Linked DNA regions of Mus musculus. The protein of the gene in region 1 purifies or fractionates together with the protein of each later gene. This does not show direct contact. Links are inferred from orthologs where the notes say so. Each region holds a gene or a part of one and is shown in the gene's direction. Other genes may lie near its edges.

Region 1 (5,632 bases):
CTTAACCCACTCAGCTATATTCCTTACTGTATAAGTGCTTTCATGTGAGTTTGAACAATTGAAACATTATAGAAGTCAGATGTGGTAGTGCATAAGCATAATCCTAACACTTAGAAATAGAGGCCAGGAGTAAAAGTTAAAAGCCATCCTTGGCAACATAACAAGTTGGAAATCCGCTGAGACCCAGAGCACTCTGATCAACATAAGAGAAAGACAGAAAAGGTGACAGGATTTTGTTTTGTGTGGGATCATGATAGTTGAGACAGTTTACTGTGGGCTCCTAGGGGACCTGGAGAGATGTGCTGCCAAGACACACACATTCTGTTTGATCTTACTTAGGTGAGACTGTTTTCACTTCACTCTTTAGGTTTTTAAGTACTTGAGCTTTAGGTATGATTAAGCTTGGCACCGCCTGTTTGTAAAATATCTTAGGACTGAGCTATAACCCAGGCCTTGTGTTGTCTTTTGAGATTTCAAATAAGATGAAGTTTTCAATAAATGAGGTTGTGCTTTATTGTGATAATTTCAGAATGTGGATATCCTGAAAGATCCTGAAACAGTCAAGCAGCTGGGTAGCATATTAAAAACAAATGTGAGAGCCTGCAAAGCTGTTGGTCATCCCTTTGTAATTCAGCTTGGCAGAATTTATTTAGACATGCTTAATGTATATAAGTGCCTCAGTGAAAATATTTCTGCAGCTATTCAAGCTAATGGTAAGTGATTCTTGCTTCTTGGGGAGGTAGAATGCTGGATAAAGGGTTTCTGCTTTCACTGTCTTACCCTTTCTGCTCTTCTCACATTTAAGTAAACCTGCTGTCTGGGGTCAAAAGGTCCAAGACCCTTTCTCAACAATTGCTTGGTTGATTAGTCTTGCCTAGTTAACTAAGATTAGTCTTGCCTACAAGTATAGTTTTATTAACAGAGTAACTATTTTGCAAAATGCCCAAAGCTGTGTGTTGGATCTTGGCTATTTGGTGGTTTGCACTTTGGAATTCTCTCTTCCATTCAACCTTTCCCCCAATAAATTCTTTTGAAGGTACAGCTTTTTAAATGGTCAGTGGAGTTATATTATTTGCAGTAGACCTAACTTTGCATACTATCAGTTAGCTTATATTTGATTGTTCTTCAGGTGAGATGGTTACAAAGCAACCATTGATTAGAAGTATGCGGACAGTAAAAAGGGAAACTTTAAAGTTAATATCTGGTTGGGTGAGCCGTTCCAATGATCCTCAGATGGTAAGATTCTTGTTTTTGTTTTTCTTTTACTTCATATTCTCTAATATATCCTGTCTACATGTATTTGCTTTTAAAAGATAGTTAAATGTCTGTGTTTAGGGTTATTTAGTGCTAGTATTAGTTGGAGTCCTTTTAAAGTAAAAAAGATAGTGATTTAGCTTTTGAAGAAATTTGTTTGCTACAGATGATGATAATAAATAAGAATGGGTTATTTGGGGCTATAGATATGTCCAAAGGTAGGTTGAAGGGTTGTTAAGATAAAAACAAGATGTCAATAGAATTCATATTTTATATCTAGGTCACTTAGGAAATCCAGGCCATATAGTTCATAAGCTGAAGCTACTACAGTGGCTGTGAGGTAGGAGGAAAAAAGATTACAAATTAAGGATTTGAATCATCTTAACAGCCCTCATCAGTAATCTTGAGCTTTGATGATGATCAAAGTAAAACAAAAAAAGTCACCACTTCAGATTTAAAACTACATAAAGAGCACTATAGCAGATTGCTATGCCTGATCCTCATATCAGCAACAAAAATAGGATCCTGCCCTATACTCACTATTACTGTGTGATATAGCTATAATGTTTGTGAGTAAAATGGAATCTGGAGCAGTCAGTAGCCAGCTCAGTGGATGACGAAGTTTTCTGCCAAATCTCAATGGATTCCAACACTGGGACCCATATGGTGGAAGGAGATCAACTCCCATAGATGAACCTCTCTGACCTACACGTGTGTGTGTATGTAAGCCTGATACCTAGGACTAAAGTATTTATTCATTGTCTTAAAACAGCATCTGCTTAATGGTGTAGGCAGAGCAGGAGAATCACCTTTATAGGCCAACCTGAGTTACACAGTTAGTGGTGATGGAACACACTTTTATTTGGGAGGCAGGGTCAGGTAGATCTAGGATAGCCTGGGCTACACAAAAGAGAGTCTGTGAGGTTTTTTGCTGTTTGTCTTTTGGATTTTGTTGTTGTTTTAAAATCCATTGAAAGCTGGGCATGGTGGCGCACACCTTTAATCCCAGCACTTGGATTTCTGAGTTCAAAGCCAGCCTGGTCTACAAAGTGAGTTCCAGGCCAGCCTGGGCTATACAGAGAAACCCTGTCTTGAAAAAAAAAACAAAACAAAGCAAAACAAAACAAAAAAACCCATTGAAGATTTTATGCTGAGAATGGCAAAGTGAAACATCAGTGCAGGACAATGTAGTATGAGGCAGGTGAATGGTAGTGACTGGTTGCAGTTCTGGAGTGTGTGTTACTGCACTAATAGTATGTATAGGCGACCACAGGAGAGCTACTGCTGTCGCTCACAGTTTGAGCACCTTTAAAATGCAGGAAGTTCTTGAGCCTGCTTGTGCTTAGGGAAGTTACCATAAACACTTTTTTTTTTAAAAGATTTATTTATTGTTATATGTAAGTACACTGTAGCTGTCTTCAGACACACCAGAGGAGGGCATCAGGTCCCATTACAGATGGTTGTGAGCCACCATGTGGTTGCTGGGATTTTAACTCAGGCCCTCTGGAAGAGCAGTCAGTGCTCTTAACCGCTGAGCCATCTCACCAGCCCGAGCTATTACTTTTTATCTTCAGCTCGAACTCTGATAAAATTCTTCTTCTTCTTTTTTTTTTTTTTAACGTATTCATGTATGTTTAGATTGTGTAGGTACAGAGAACCACTCACTGTATCCAGCTTTCTTCCTGAATCAGCTTCTTCACAGCAGTGGCCACAGAATACTGAAGTCTTCTTGGATTTATTTATCCCACTGTTAATTGAAGTCTGGTCTTATAGTATTTTGGATATAGCCAATTCAGGACTTATTTCTTTATTTAGATATTTTCTTTATATACATTTCAAATGCTATCCCAAAAGTCCCCCAGACCCTCTCCCCCACCCACTCCCCTATCCACCCACTCCCACTTCTTGGCCCTGGCGTTCCCCTGTACTGAGGCAGATAAAGTTTACAATACCAAGGGACCTCTTTTCCCAATGATGGCCAACTCAGAAGATGGGAAGATCTCAATTTAGGACTCTTAACTACTGAATATGTATGAAGGTGGTATTTTGGTACACACCTGTCATCATAGCCCTGGGAATTGTAGCAGGATGAATGCCATGAGTTTGAGTCCAACCTTGTTATGTAATGAGACTCACAGATACATTTTAAACTAACTAGTATCTATGGCCATTGTTAATGTTGACCTTACCGGTTCCTGTTGCTAAAATATTTTAGCATCATATCTCATCAGATAATCTGAATTATCTTAGAGACTGGAGTGACCTATATTACTTTACCCCCCAAACAGGTAGCTGAAAACTTTGTTCCTCCTTTGTTGGATGCAGTTCTTATTGATTACCAGAGAAATGTACCAGCTGCTAGAGAACCAGAAGTGCTTAGTACTATGGCCATTATTGTCAACAAATTAGGTGGACATATAACAGCTGAAATACCTCAAATATTCGATGCAGTTTTTGAGTGCACATTGAATATGATAAATAAGGTAGGTGATCTGTGTTTTTATTATATAATGGAAGATTCTGTAGTATGTTCTTCACTCCTAAATATATAAATGACAATTATTTTTTAGAGTTTCGAAGTCCTAGAATTAAGTATTATATTTATAGTAATTTATAGTAATTGTCATCTTAACAGAATCTTGACACCACCACCACCCCAAAAAAGAAAAAAAGGACAAAAAGACTGGTCACGGACACACTTAGACCTAAGACTGCTCAAAGGGCAGAGGTGCATGCATAGAACTATGATCTCTAATTTCTGGGTAGCCATGTCTGGCCTGGAACTCACGCTGTAGATCCAGCTGGATTAGAACTCAGATCTGCCTGCCTCTGGGATTAAGGGTGTGCTCTACAAATTTCCAGGCTAGAATTTGTATTTTAAAAATTGAACTAATCAGCCTGGCGTGGTGGCATACGCCTTTAATCCCAGCACTCGCTAGGCAGAGGTAGGCGGATTTCTGAGTTCAAGGCAGCCTGGTCTACAAAGTGAGTTCCAGGACAGCCAGGGCTATAAAGACAAACCCTGTCTCAAAAAAAAAACGAAAAAGAAATAATCACAAACTAGCAAACACAGCTAGGTTTCTGGTCTATATATGACATACACATATAACAGCTTGGTCAACAAAAGAAAGGGGTGGGGATTAAATCTGGACTGAACCTCGGTATGGGATAACTTTTAAAATTTAGGGGATAGCAGATAGTCTACTGTTTTTGTTTTTGTTTTTTTGGTTTCAATATGTAGCAGGATAAAATTGGGTGGTAGCATTTAAAAGTTCCTCCTGGGCTGATCTCAGTTCAGTTCTGAGCATGGTGGCTCATAACCATCTGTATTGGGGTCTGATGCTCAGAGTACTCACATAAATGAAATACATAAATCCTCTGTTTGTTTTTTTGAGACAGGGTTTCTCTGTATAGCTCAGGCTGTCCTGGAACTCACTCTGTAGACTAGGCTGCCCTTGCACTCAGAAATCAGCCTGTCTCTGCCTCCCAAGTACTGGAATTAAAGGCGTGTGCCACCACTGCTAGGCACATAAATCTTTTTTAAAAAAAAGTTTTCCAGATGGGTTGTGATGTAAACACACACCCAGACCTTTGGTGAGTAGATTTGAGACAAGAGCATTTTCTTGCCAACCATAAACTGGCCTCAGACTTCAGCAGGCTTTCTGAGAGTAGGTGTTTCATGACAAGCATGGCTGTGTTTGCTGATTTGTGAATATTTCCAGAGCATGGTACTTAAATCTTTAAAATATAAATTCTAGCCTGGAGGTGGTGGATTTCTCTTGAGTTCTAAACCAGTTGGGTCTACAAAGCATAGTGACAGGACAGCCATGGCTATCCAGAGAAATCCTGCCTTTGAAAACCAATGATAACAAGAAATGATAACAAATCCTAAAATTTGGGCTTTCCTTTGGGGGAAACTTTGAAGGTAGATGCAAATAGAAACTTTTCCTCTTTTAAGGCATTGAAATGTTTCAGTGTTCTTTCTTATTTTAGGATTTTGAAGAGTATCCAGAACACAGAACAAACTTTTTCTTATTACTTCAAGCTGTCAATTCTCACTGTTTCCCAGCATTCCTAGCTATTCCACCTGCACAGTTCAAGCTGGTTTTGGATTCTATTATTTGGGCTTTTAAACATACTATGAGGAATGTTGCAGATACAGGTAAATACATTTAAGTTATTTGATAAAGCAGAAATAGACACTTAAGTCTCAGTAACTGTTTAATTTTGGGGGGGAGGAGGCATGAGCATCTAGTTTTCAGGGATTTCTAAAATACTGAGTCAATTCAGCAGTGAAAATTGATTACTTTTAAATGGAGCCATTCTAGCATCTGGTAGGGACATGTTTCATCATCCTTCATAGAGCTCATGAGTTTTG
Region 2 (3,992 bases), on another chromosome or scaffold:
CCTCAGTACTGATCTTGTGAAGGAATAAATTCTTCCTTTTCTGTCCACCCCCACCCCCAGCTCAACCCACCTCTCTTCTTAACCTGTTCTTACCTGCCAGGGGCTCTCCCCCCCCTGGAAGCCCGCCCTCCAGGGCACCCCCAAGGACCTCATAGGGGCCCAGGGGGGCAGGGGCCAGGGGGAGTTTCCCATAGTCTACGAGCCAGCCCAGCCCGCTAGCTGGGAGCAGGGCCCTGTCCAGCTCCAGTCCCAGGGTCGCCAGGAGTGACATGGCTGTGACACAGGCACAGGGCAGCGACGGCAATGGAGGCTGCACCAACAATTGGGAGGCAGCGTGGAAGATTGTTCAGCTGGGTGAAGACAGGCACCAAGGCGAAGGTGGAGGACCTGTGAGGACAAGGGGACGTGGGTGGGATTGAGTCAAAGCGGCTTGACCCACAGGCTACACAGTTTCCTTCTTTCCGAAAATTTCAGCGCTCCACACATTCCCAGGGACATTATTGGAAACTCCCCTGCCCCATCTCCTCCCTCAACACAGAAACCTAGTGTTTTCCCAGGGGAATTACCTCTAGTCCCTCCTACCCACCTCATCTTATTCCTCTTCATAAAAATTTCAATCCCAAGGGAATTTCCTTCTAGCCGTGCCCCTTCCGCATCATTAGACTATACCCCCTTTAATCCACAGGGGTTCCCAGAATAATTCTGCATGCCTGGGCCCTTCATCAGTGTCACACACACAGATCCCGCTCTTCCCTTAAAAATTTTGGTGACTTCTAAAGATTCTACGGGAAGCTCCGCCCACCCTTCTGTCTGTCACAGTCAGTTCCCGTCCCCCACTAGCAAGTCCCTAGAGGCCCCGCCCCTGTAGTGCTAGTGCTAACTCTTTCTTAAAGGTGTTCCTAAAGCCTTTCCTGTCAGTTTAAGCCAGTCCCCGCCCCAGCAGGTGTCTGATTGGAGGGAAGTTGGGCCTGAGTCGGAGCCTCAAGCAAAACCCCACCCTTCCTCGCTGCTGGCTCGACTAGCGACGAGGCGCAAGCTCAGTCCCAGGACCCGATCCATTGTTACGCCACTACCCTCCTGGGGGACCAGTGCGCGTGTTTAGCCAATGACCGGCCGCCCGCCGTAGTTCAGGCCGGGGGTGGAGGGGTGGGGGGGTGGGGGAATAAGACAATGCGCATGCGCAACAGGTTGTGGGGTTGTCTCCTTGGAGGAAAAGGGGCAGAGGGTCTGTGAATTAGCGCGCAGGCGCAACGGCGCGCGAGCCGACCTTAAAAGCCCCCAAATTCTCCGGAAGCACGCCCTCCTCCTCCCCGCCCCTCGCAACTCGAGCCTAGTGCGCTTGCTCAGCGGATGCGCCGGCCGCCAGCTTCCCTCTTCTGCGCCTGCGCGACCGTGGTTCCTCACTTCGTCTCCCCCGCCCCCACCACGAGGCTGACCCGTGAAGCCCCGCGAGCTCTGAAAGGGCGGGAAAGGCAGTTGGCGAGGGAGGGGCGAGCGGTTACTCACTCCATGGCGGCGAAAAGGCGAGGAGGCAACGGCGGCGGCGGCCTCGGCTGAAGAGACGGTGTGAGCGGAGAGTGAAGGCGCGGTGAGCGCGGAGACGGGGGCGGGGGACACGACGGGGTCGCGGCTACAGAGCCATTGCGCGGGCGGAGGCGGCGTGGCGGGAGCGTTAAGGGAGACTGTGCTGAGAGGGTTGAAAATGAGGCGGCCCCGGGGCCTGGGGACAAATATACCGGGGGCGGCGCAGCGCGGGCTTGCCTGGATCCCTCCGCGCCCCGCCCTCGCGCGGCCCCGACGGGGCGGTGGCGACCCCGGGCCCGCCATGTCGCCCTGACCCTCCACTCTCTGCTTCAGGCTGGGGGCCCGGGCTCGGTCTCCTGAATCGGTCAGATCCGATGTGTCTTTCACACCCGAAACCAGCTCGTCTCGTTCTCTCTCCCTGCTTCACGAATTTGCCACCCGAGACCTCGTGGGTTAAGCCCATCGCCGAATGGCGCAAGCTAGCTTAGGCTTCATAGAGGAGTTCCAGGCAGCAACCGCGAGATAACGCTTCCCAAGTACTTGTAGAGCGCTGTATACGCGCACAGATATATCAGCTATGGAAAGTAGGCCACGAAGTCCTAACCACGAGACTCTTCAACATATTTTTGTTTGTTTTGTTTTAACATTTATTGTGGTGGTCAGAGGAGAGCTAGCAGGAGTTGGTTCTCTGACCATGTGAGTCCCAGGGACGGAACTCGGGTCAAACTATTTGGCAGCCTTTACCCACTGCTCAGTCATTGTATTTTCTTTTAGAAAAAAACCCTGACTTCACCTCTTTTACTCTCCCTACCCCAGATTCTTAGCCATATGATCGTTCTGTGTGTCCCACCTCCAAGGTTTCTGTTTCCAGCCATCCCTGCCGACCTCTAAGGTTTTGCCCTTGCTCTGACTTTCTTGCAGTCCTTGCTCTCTTGCTGACCCCACTAGATAATTATTTCTTGATCCTGTCCAAAATAGGACATTTATATTCCATTTAGTAAAAGAGTCCCTCTTGTCCTTCACCGGGGATGATGCGTGAACCCTGTTTTCTACCCCATGTTCATGTACATGGCTGGCATTCCATGTGAAAGTCAGTCAGTGTGTCATATTTGTAGCAGCTGAGAGACTGAATGGTTGGAGATAGAGCTCAAGAATGCTCGTCTGTTTTTAACACCAGAACCTTAGTCTCTGTCCAAGCACCACATGGATTGGGCTTGACTTGCCTGTATTCTCAGGATTTGGGAGATGGGAGAAAAGAAATCATGAGTTCAGGGTCATACTGACTGGCCTCAATGTGTTTTAAAAAGAAAAAGTCCAGAGGCCAGGCTTGATATCTCACCTACTTAGGAGGCTAAGACAGGAGTATTGAAAGTCAAGGTCAGGGCTGGAGCTGCTTTGAGATGGCTCTGGTGGTGATCTCTAAACTCAACCCTCCTGAGTTCCATCCTCAGGACCCACTTGGTAGAAGGACAAAAGCAACTCTAGACGGTTGTCCTCTGACCTCCACCACCTGTAGTGACAGGTCTACATACTGAGTAAGGGGAGGAAAAAAGCTCAAGGCTTGCCTTGACTAGAAAGTGAGTTCTTGGCTGTCTAGAGAACTTAACAAAGATCCTGATTTTAAAAAAATATGTAATGGGCTGGGGTTGGAGGTTGGTGGCAGAGTGTTGGCCAGAATACTGCTTTCCAGACTCTGGTGTCCATCCCTGGTACTGTAAAAGATTCAGAGCAGGTGGGGAATACTGATTTTGAAAGTTACAAGTCCTTGAGATAATTCCCCTTGGAATGGGCACTCTTTTTTTTTTTTTAGATTTTATTTATGTAAGTACACAGGTTCTCTTCAGACACACCAGAAGAGGGCATCAGATTCCATTGCAGATGGTTGTGAGCCACCATGTGGTTGCTCTGGAAAAGCAGTCAGTGCTCTGTAACACTGAGCCATCAGAGTGTGAATTCTTATCTTCTGCCAGTGTTTGAGCACAGGCGTGATTTGATGTGTTTAGACTCCAGCCCTCCCTTGCCAGCTATGGGCTTTGTTAAGTCCATGTGGAGTCTGCTACGAATACAGAAATGGGATGGACCCAGAGCTTCATGAACTGCATGCTAAATGGACATTCTACCACCTGAGCTGCATCCCTGGGCCCCACAGGTGCTGGTTTTTATTTGAAACATTGTGCCATGTTGCTGTGCCGGTGGTGCTCCTTTCCTTGAGTTTGGTATTTTAAAGTAAACTTTTGGAATAATCGAAAGGTTTCAAAGACAGTGCAGAGTGGGGGTACCAGCCCATAGTCTTCCCCATGGTACTTCTTTTTTCTTTCCTGAGGTCCTACCCAGATGCTTCCCCCGCCCTCAGATCCACCTTAACTCAAGAGCTGGTTTTCACATTTAGCTGCCATGCCCTCCCCAGCATGTGCACAGCCGTCACTTTATGGGAGTTGTGATCATCCCTGGAGGCCTGCCACCCTGAG
Region 3 (4,271 bases), on another chromosome or scaffold:
TGTCAGCCTCACTAGTGTTGATGTCATTTCTGGGGGGGGGGGGGGGACTTCAGCAAAAAGCTAACCACTGCCCAATACCAGAACCAAAAGGGTTAAGTCAGTGACTCTGATGGGCCCCTACTGATAGGCAGGGTAGCTCCGGAGCTCTGTACACACAACTCCCCCCTAGAAGCGAGTAGCCAAGTACAGCAGCACTTCATAAGAGTTTTCCTTTGGACTAAGTGGGTTCATAATTGGGCGGCAACTTCCAAGACAGTACCCATAAGTTTGAGCCTGTTTTGTATCTTCAAATCAAGTCATGCTCCATGCCTACCAGCACCCCATCTGCTTCCCCCTCCCACAGCAGCATCTGGATCCAAGGCTGCAATAGTCCTAGCCACACCAGAAAAGTTTCCTAGAGCTCTTGGGTTTGACATTAAAGTTTCAGTCAACACTTGGGAGTTGGAAGCAGGTGAATTTCTTGAGTTTGTGGCCAACTTGGTCTACAAAGCAAGTTTCACAGAAACCCTGTTTCAAGAAACAAAACCCAAAACTAGCAACTTTCCCTAGCTACCTACCTAGCTGACCTGGGTCTACCAATTAGGCTTCAGTATGACAGACTGAGTGAAGTGAAGATCAAGGCTTAAGGCTCACTAGATCCCTGATTTTGTTTTGAGATGGTCTATGTAGTGTTCCCTATCTCTGAACTGGACAAAGTATTGATAGTAAGACTAAAGCTTTTTTATTTTATTTTATTATTTTATTTTTTTTGGAGGAAGGGTCTCTACATAGCTCTGGCTGTTCTAGAAATTTCTATAGAGCCAAGACTGGCCTCAAACTCAAAGATCTGCCTGCCTCTGCCTTCCAAATGCTGGGTTTAAAGACCTGCTCCACTACACCCGACTTGACTTTTTTTTTCATTAGTCAATTTAAAAGACCTTTTTTCATTAGTCAATTTAAAAACCTACGAAGGACAGGATTTCGTTTAATTCACACTTGGGTTTCACACTGGGCATGATACTGTGCTGGAGGAAGAAAAGTTCGCATTAGTTAAGGTTCCTGCTCCAGTGGGGCTTACATTCCAATTTTCTATTTCGTCATAATTCGTCGTGGAGATGAGAAAAGCTAAGAGGGCATAGGCCAGCGGCTGGCAAGGAACTGAGCTGCGACTTACTCGCTGCCGGGATCCCACCGGCGGGGACTGTGGGCCGTTACTCCCGTTCAGAGGCCAGGTCTCCATTCTTGTGTGTAGCCCTCGACCCTGCTCCTCTTGAGTTCAGTGCTAACGCAGAGGGTTTAGCTCCGGGACCGGGCCAGCGAAGAAATAGGAAGGCGGGGCCGGCCGATAGGCCATCCGGCCGGAGCTCCGGCCGTGGGCGGGCCTCGGAGGGCCTGGCCACGCCCCCGAGCGGCCGCCCTGCTTCTGCGCAGGCTCAGAGAGCGCGTTCACGTCCCGCGGCACCGCCCACATCCTGGGGACGTCGGCGGCGCGCGACGTGCTTCGCCGGATAAATGCGGTGGCGCCGGTCGTAGGAGAGATTCTGTCCTGAGCGCTAAGGCTCCTTGGCGTTTGGTGGCGTCAGGTTCTGCGCCTGAGCCCGCCCCTGTACCTGCCTGTGCCATGGCGGACGAAGGGAAGTCATACAACGGTCAGTGCGGGGCCTCGGGCCGGGAGGCGACGCGGTGGGTTGGGGTGGGCGGCCCTGGCCTAGGCCTCAGCCCGGGGGCGGGAGGCCGCGAGGAGCCCTACGTCCGTAGGTAGCGGTGGCCGCGCGGGCAGGGGGCGCGGGGCGCCGCGGGACCCAGGGGCTCCAGAGTCGCCCGGATTCAGGCGTTGGAGAACCTGTGGCTCAGGGGTGGGGTGACAAGATTCCTTTCAACTTTGAGGGTGGTTGATGCCTGTCAGTTCAGTTTGGCGGCCCGACTCTTCCTTTAAATGTGAGTCAGTAGTCGCTTGGTCGTGGGCTACCCTGGTGCCCTATTTTTCTTTTTCTTTTTGTGATACGATCAGTCTGTTCTTGTAGCTTGCTGCTTATTGTTTATCAAATTTCTAGTCGGAACACCTATCCTGACATGTTAATTCATTGTGGTGGTTAGGACACTATGACAGCTGAGGTTTGAATCTGGAGTTGGCTGTACTAAACCCGAGTGAGTTAAACTTTCAGGCCTTGTTTTCCGCCTCTTTCATGTGGGTACCTGTCTCCCAAGTTTGTGTGCATGTGCGTGTGCGTTTGTGTGCGTATGAAATAATTTCTACCAAGTGCCTAGAACACAGTAACTGGAGTGGGAATTTTCTTCCGTGAACCGTAGTTTCACTGTCTCTTAATGTATTCCTTTTTACTAGGGTTGCTTGGAGAGGATCGTTGTTTAGAGGATGCTAGATATTAGGTGGATTTCTTTGAAAGTTATACCTTTTTTGTATTTGTGTAATACTGATGATTTATCCAGGCCTGAAAAATAGCTACCCAATGAACCTTTATTTTAATTCAAATATAATTACTTGGTCTCCTTTCTCTAGCCATTCCCATTGTCAACTCTCTCCCCAAATTCATCCAACATGCAGAGCCCATTTAGTGTTAATGTGTATATATTTGTTTCTAAAGCTTACCATTTGGGATTGGATAACCATTTAGGGAATTCATCCCTAGGGAAGGCTAATTCTCCCTTACAGGGTCAGCCCTAGTATCCCAGGCTGGCCTCAGTCAGTCTCCCTGTGTCAGCTTCCCAAGTTCGGTATTGCATAGACTTTTACTTTTTTTTGGGGGGGTTGGGCTCCTAGAGTTAAACTCAAGGTCTGGCAAAAAGGAAAATAAATAGAACCAAGTGTAGTAGTGCACTGTTTAAGGTAAGAGGATCAGAGGTTCCAGGTCATTCCCTGTGTGCCAGGCCTTCTGTTCTCCCACAGAGCTATAGACAAGGAAGGATGAAAATCCCTTGTTTTTTCGAGACAGGGTTTCTCTGTGTAGCCCTGGCTGTCCTGGAACTCACTTTGTAGACCAGGCTGGCCTTGAACTCGGAAATCCGCCTGCCTCTGCCTCCCAAGTGCTGGGATTAAAGGCATGCGCCACCAGGCCCGGCTGTTATTTTTTTGAGATGGTTCACCAAGTTGTCCAGACTGACTTGAAGTTTCAAATTCTGCCTCAGCCTGGGTGGTGTGTGTGTGTGTGTGAAGGATAGGATAGGCAAGCACATTGTCAACTGGGCTATATCCTCAGCCCTCCTTTTATTTGTTTTGTCTACATATATGCAGACCACCCACTAAGAGAGACAGGTCTCAATCCTGGTCTGGCCTTGAACTCTGTAGTTCCAATCCTCTTCTTAAACAGTGTACTACCACACTTGGTTGGCTTGTTTGTTTATTAATTTATTTATTGAAACAGTGTGTCAATGAGTAGTTCTCTCTGTTCTAGAACTCAATGAGTAGACCATGCTGGCATTCAAAACTCAACAGTTCTCTGCCTGCCACTGTCTGGGAATAAAGATATGGGCCACTGTGTTTGGCTTCTTCCCCTTTTTAAGGCAGGGTTTTAGCTTATCTGGAACTCGGAATCCTCCTGCTTCAAACAATGGTTATATTGGAGAACATTCCCTACCTCCTTACTGTGGAACCTGCACCAGTCCCTGAATCAATAAGTCCCTCGAGGTGCAGGCTATTTTTGCTCAAAGAAACTAGCATTTCCCAAGTTCCGAGTGCAGGAGATGGTAGTTGTTTTTTGGGTTTTGTTTTGTTTTGTTTTGTTTTTCGAGACAGAGTTTCTCTGTGTAGCTCTGGCTGTCCTGGAACTCACTCTGTAGACCAGGCTGGCCTCGAACTCAGAAATCCGCCTGCCTCTGCCTCCCGAGTGCTGGGATTAAAGGAGTGCGCCACCACTGCCCGGCGGTAGTTGTTTTTAGGAGACTTTAAATACGTCCTATTTGTAAGAATTTTTTTATTTTTTGGGATAGAATCTCATGTAGCCCAGCATAGCTTTGATTTCTTGTGTAATTGAAGCCTCCATTTCCCAATTGCCAGGATTGCAGGTGGTGGCCATAACATCTGGTTCTGTGACCATCAACTGTACACATAAGCAAAAGAATATGCAAGTGGCAGATTTTAGGTGGTTTTCAGGAATCTGGTTATATTTTGGGGTTGCCCATACTTCCACATTTTAGTTTTCTTTGTAGGATCTGGTTTCTGGGTGGTTTTGGTTTTCTTTTTTCTTTAAATTCTAAGGTTTTTTTTGGGGGGGGGTAATTTTATACATGTACACAGTTGTAATTGTATTCACCTTTCATTACTCTTTTTTATTTTT
Region 4 (4,155 bases), on another chromosome or scaffold:
TAGTATGGACTACTGAGCCATCTCTTCAGACCACTTTCCCCTCTTTATGCAGGTGCTGGGTATCCAACTCAGATCCTCGAGCCTGCATGGCAAGCACCTTACTGACTCAGCCATCTCCCCAGCCTCCAACGCTAAGGCTTCTATTGGAGTTCTTAGGACTCTCATGTATAGAATCATAGCATCTGCAAATAAGAATATTTTGGTTTCTCCCTTTCTTATTTGTATTCCCTTTATTATTTCCCTTGTCTTACAGCCCTAGCTAAAAACTTCCAACACTCTATTAAAAGTGGAGAACATAAACACCCTTGTCTGTTTTAGTAGAAATTAGGCATATCTTTAAAAAACAAGTAACTAAAGTTTATACTGTAGTTACATTTCCATGTTCATTATAAATGTCTTATAAAACACAGATGATTGTGTGGAGCTGGAAAGGTGGTGGCTCAGCAGTTAAGAACATCTGCTACTCTCTCCCAGGACCAGAAGAGCTTGGTTCTCAGCCTCTGTGTTGGGCAGTTTCAAACCACCTGTAACTCCAGCTCCGGGGCGTCTGACACCTCTTCGGACCTTAGAAATGCTAGGGTCTTCCTTTTGACATCAGTTTCGGTTACAGTTGCGGATTTACCTGTTTTCATCTATTTTGTGGATCCACTTCTGAGAAAAATATGTTTCAGATGATTTCTTTAAGAATAATACTTTTCTTTAATGAAAAACATTTTATATTTTCTGCTTACTATTAAAAGTACAGTGTTTGCAATATAATAGAGAGTTTTCAGTTTTTCTTTCTTTTCTTTTTCTTTTTGCATCAACTGTTTAGTAAACAGCGATTCGATACTCTTAAGTTGTCCATGGTGATATTTACAGTGGCCATGTTTCTTTAGAAAGATCCATGTATTTTATGTATTTGAGTGTTTGGCCCGCATGAATATATATGCACCAAGTTTGTGGTTGGTGGCCTCAGAGTTAAGAGGGCGGCAGATCCTCTCCAAATGGAACTCTAGACGTCAGTGAGCCCACCCTGTGAGTGCTGGGAATTGAACCCAGGTCCTTTGTAAGAACAACTGCTTTTAACTGCTGAGCCCTCTCCCCAGGAGCTGAGAAGTGCATTTTAAAGATACGGGGGCGGGTGGAACGGTGAGCCTATCACAGACACCAAACTGTTGTAATCACTGTCCCGAGCCTGCTCAGCTCGCCCGGTCTCCCGTATCCCCACCCACTCACTCCATAGGCCCCGCCCCTTGCTACACGTGTATTCTTTGACCCCGCCCACCCGTCCCCTTCTCCCGCACCCTTCAGCACGCGGGATTTCCGGTTCTCCTATCGCGAGATCTTCGTAGGTGTGTAGCGCGGCTGAGGTAGCCGGTAGTGCGTCCTGGCCGGCGGGTTGCCCGCTGTGGGTGTATTTCGCCCTGTCACGGAGCTGCTGGTAGGTTCTGGGTGGGAGACCCGGCTCCTGCGCCAACAGCGGCCAGACGAGGGAGCGAGCCGGGCCCTGTACCCGGGCTGCGAGCGGCCCGCACGGGCGCCGGGGCGTGGGTGTGGGGCCGAGGCCGGCCGCATGCGGAGCCGCGGCGCGGAGGAGGGCGGAAGGGCCGTGCTGGGCGGCGGCTCGCGACCCCCGGGCTTGTGTGCCGCACGCATGGCTGTCCCCGAACTCAGGAGACTCGACCTGATGGATCCAAGTCTCACCGGTCCTTCCCTCCCCTTGATAGGTCGCGCGCGAACCATGGAGTACATGGCAGAGTCCATTGAGCACAGCCCGGGACACATGTGAGTTGCGAGCCCGCCCTGATCGATCCCTTGGCGTCTGCAGATCGTAAAATACCGAGAAAACGGTTAACGCTAGCAGGAGAGGTCCTTTTCTCGGTGGGAGAAAACGGTTGGGTCTTGATCGCATAGGAAGTCTACCCCATTTTAAGTCCGGTGTAGAAAAAAATGAGTGCTTTGAGAAGACGTCCTCCTAGAGGGGCACGAGTGGACGTGTACGGTTGTCACCCGGCTCCTCTGTCGTGCTAGCCACATGGTATGCGGTGCTCACGTGCAGCTAGTGGCCACCACTGGAAGATTATCTTAGTTTTCTTTGGGCAGCCGTGGGCCACGGTGGCGGAGGTTCACAGACTTTTTCTGCTGTTTCGTTGAAATCTTACTTTCGATGGAGCCAGTCCTGTTAGATTGGCCCTGGAATTCACTCTGTAGCCACGGCTGACCTTGAGAGCCTTGTCCCTTCAGCCTTAGCCTCCCAAGTGCTGCGATTATGTCAGGCCTGCTTCACAAAATTTTTCTGCCTCCAGTACACTATAGAGTTATACTCCTGTAGCTTAGAGCATCGGTAGGCATAGGTGCTCTTCTTGTCCTGTATTTTTGTCTATTTCTCCTTTTAAAAATTACTTTGTAACATAAAATACAGGGTTTCATTATATTTTCATGTATATAGGAGGGTCCGCATATTTAACATTGTACAGCGTTCATATTTACCCTACCATTGATCTTCCTTAACCCTCCTACCCCCTCACAGGTCCCTTTCCTTTCCTTAATAATCTCCTTTCTGTTTTCATGGAATACGTACATTTTCCTTTACTGTTCATTGTGGGTCCCTGTAAAGGGGGCCTGTTCGCATCTACGCATTGTAGATGCTCAGAACAAAGGGGGCACCCACTAGCCGAGTCAGATGCAAGAGAAACGAGAAACGGATCTTACATATATTGTTTGTTTCTCTTTGTTGTTTATTTTTGCTTTTGAGACAGTCTTACCATGTTAAGTCCTGCTTACCAGGAACTCATAGAGAGATCTGTCTGCCTCTGCCTCTGCCTCGCAAGTGCTGGGTAAAGGTCTGCACCATCACACTTGGCTGTCTTTTGTTTATATTGTTGAATTTATGTGCACATTAGTGTTTGCTATTGTTGTTAGACTATTTGCATTGCTAATTTCTTTTTTTCTTAGTTTTCCAATTTTAAAGAAGAGATGAGGGACTAGGACATTTCTATCATTGCATGAAGTTCATTAGCATGACAAAGTCGCACAGTGCCCTCTTTAAGCATTTTCAGAATTATGGCCCTTTGATTTTTGCCGATGTTTCAGGATTCTTCTTCACTCTGTCTTTAAGATTGCCTTTTTCCCCTCTTCGAGACAGACTCTCATGAAGCTCTGGCTGGCGTGAGACTCACAGATCTGTGTGCCCTGCTTCCTGGTTGTTAAGACGAAAAAGATTTCCCCCCACACCCCACTTGTCTTTTAAAAACAAATCAACTTATTTTATTCGTGAGTGTATGTGTGTGTGCTAAGTGCATGTAAGAGGCCATGGACATCAGAAGAGTGGTAGACTCTCCTGGAACTAGAGTTACAGATGGTTGTGAGCTGCCTCTTGTGTGCTGAAAATTGACCCCAGTTTGCTATAAGAGCTGGAAGCACTTTGACCCATTAAGTGTCTCCTCCCCCACTTTAAACAGTAGAATCTTGAAGGCTTTGGCTTGGTAGGGGTTTTTTGTTTGTTTGTTTTGTTTTGTTTTTGACTAGTAAATGTATAAAATCTAATTGGAAAAAATCTGCTTTATTTTCTCAAGCTTGTGCTGTGAATGTGGTGTCCCAATTAGTCCAAATCCTGCCAATATTTGTGTGGCCTGTTTACGAAGTAAAGTTGACATCAGCCAAGGTGTTCCAAAGCAGGTCTCCATTTCTTTCTGCAAACAGTGTCAGAGGTACAGTACATTACTACTTGTTTAGCTTCCTTAAGTTGGTCTTCATACAGAGAGCCACTGTGTTATGCTGAGATTACTCTGAAGTATACGGAATGAAACGTGCTGTTGAGTGTTAATTTTTACCTAGTTGATGTTACCAAGGATATAATAATTTGCAGTTTTATGCTGTGCTTTCTACTGTCCTACTAATCTGGTAAGGATAGAAAAAATATTTGTATAAAAGTGAGATACTGAATCTGACAGTAGAAGACGCCTTCTGAGAGCTGATGCATTCTTTCTTCAGTTTCGTTCCTTTAGTTGTTGGCTACATCTGTTTACATCTATCCATATGTCTAGTGAGAGACTTAAACCTTGTCAGTGAATATAAAAATTATATGCCTGTGACTTCCCAGATAGGTTTAGCATTTGCTTTGTGTATGTGGAAATTGTCTGTGGACCTCTGTAAGAATTCAAAATGTATTTC

Evidence for each region. Proteins that work in one complex are often made in the same cells at the same time.
Region 2: the proteins of Xpo1 (region 1) and Nup62 purify together in Homo sapiens (affinity purification with western blotting; 4 studies listed by BioGRID and IntAct, with this or other methods). This does not show direct contact. The link is inferred for Mus musculus from reciprocal best matches to the Homo sapiens genes XPO1 and NUP62.
Region 3: the proteins of Xpo1 (region 1) and Nxf1 purify together in Homo sapiens (affinity purification with mass spectrometry; 3 studies listed by BioGRID and IntAct, with this or other methods). This does not show direct contact. The link is inferred for Mus musculus from reciprocal best matches to the Homo sapiens genes XPO1 and NXF1.
Region 4: the proteins of Xpo1 (region 1) and Nmd3 purify together in Homo sapiens (affinity purification with western blotting; 3 studies listed by BioGRID and IntAct, with this or other methods). This does not show direct contact. The link is inferred for Mus musculus from reciprocal best matches to the Homo sapiens genes XPO1 and NMD3.

The regions. Positions count from the first base shown.
Region 1 is NC_000077.6:23,286,216-23,291,847, forward strand, and holds part of Xpo1 (exportin-1), read left to right. Parts: intron 1-529; coding exon 530-713; intron 714-1,129; coding exon 1,130-1,236; intron 1,237-3,542; coding exon 3,543-3,737; intron 3,738-5,247; coding exon 5,248-5,416; intron 5,417-5,632. UniProt on the Homo sapiens protein: Mediates the nuclear export of cellular proteins (cargos) bearing a leucine-rich nuclear export signal (NES) and of RNAs.
Region 2 is NC_000073.6:44,814,896-44,818,887, forward strand, and holds the start of Nup62 (nuclear pore glycoprotein p62), read left to right. Parts: upstream 1-1,192; 5' UTR 1,193-1,588; exon of another isoform or gene 1,589-1,763; intron 1,764-3,992. Other genes in the region: Atf5 (cyclic AMP-dependent transcription factor ATF-5), read right to left, coding at 94-271. UniProt on the Homo sapiens protein: Essential component of the nuclear pore complex. The N-terminal is probably involved in nucleocytoplasmic transport.
Region 3 is NC_000085.6:8,755,632-8,759,902, forward strand, and holds the start of Nxf1 (nuclear RNA export factor 1), read left to right. Parts: upstream 1-1,471; 5' UTR 1,472-1,600; coding exon 1,601-1,628; intron 1,629-4,271.
Region 4 is NC_000069.6:69,720,700-69,724,854, forward strand, and holds the start of Nmd3 (60S ribosomal export protein NMD3), read left to right. Parts: upstream 1-1,355; 5' UTR 1,356-1,423; intron 1,424-1,709; 5' UTR 1,710-1,723; coding exon 1,724-1,767; intron 1,768-3,557; coding exon 3,558-3,692; intron 3,693-4,155. UniProt on the Homo sapiens protein: Acts as an adapter for the XPO1/CRM1-mediated export of the 60S ribosomal subunit.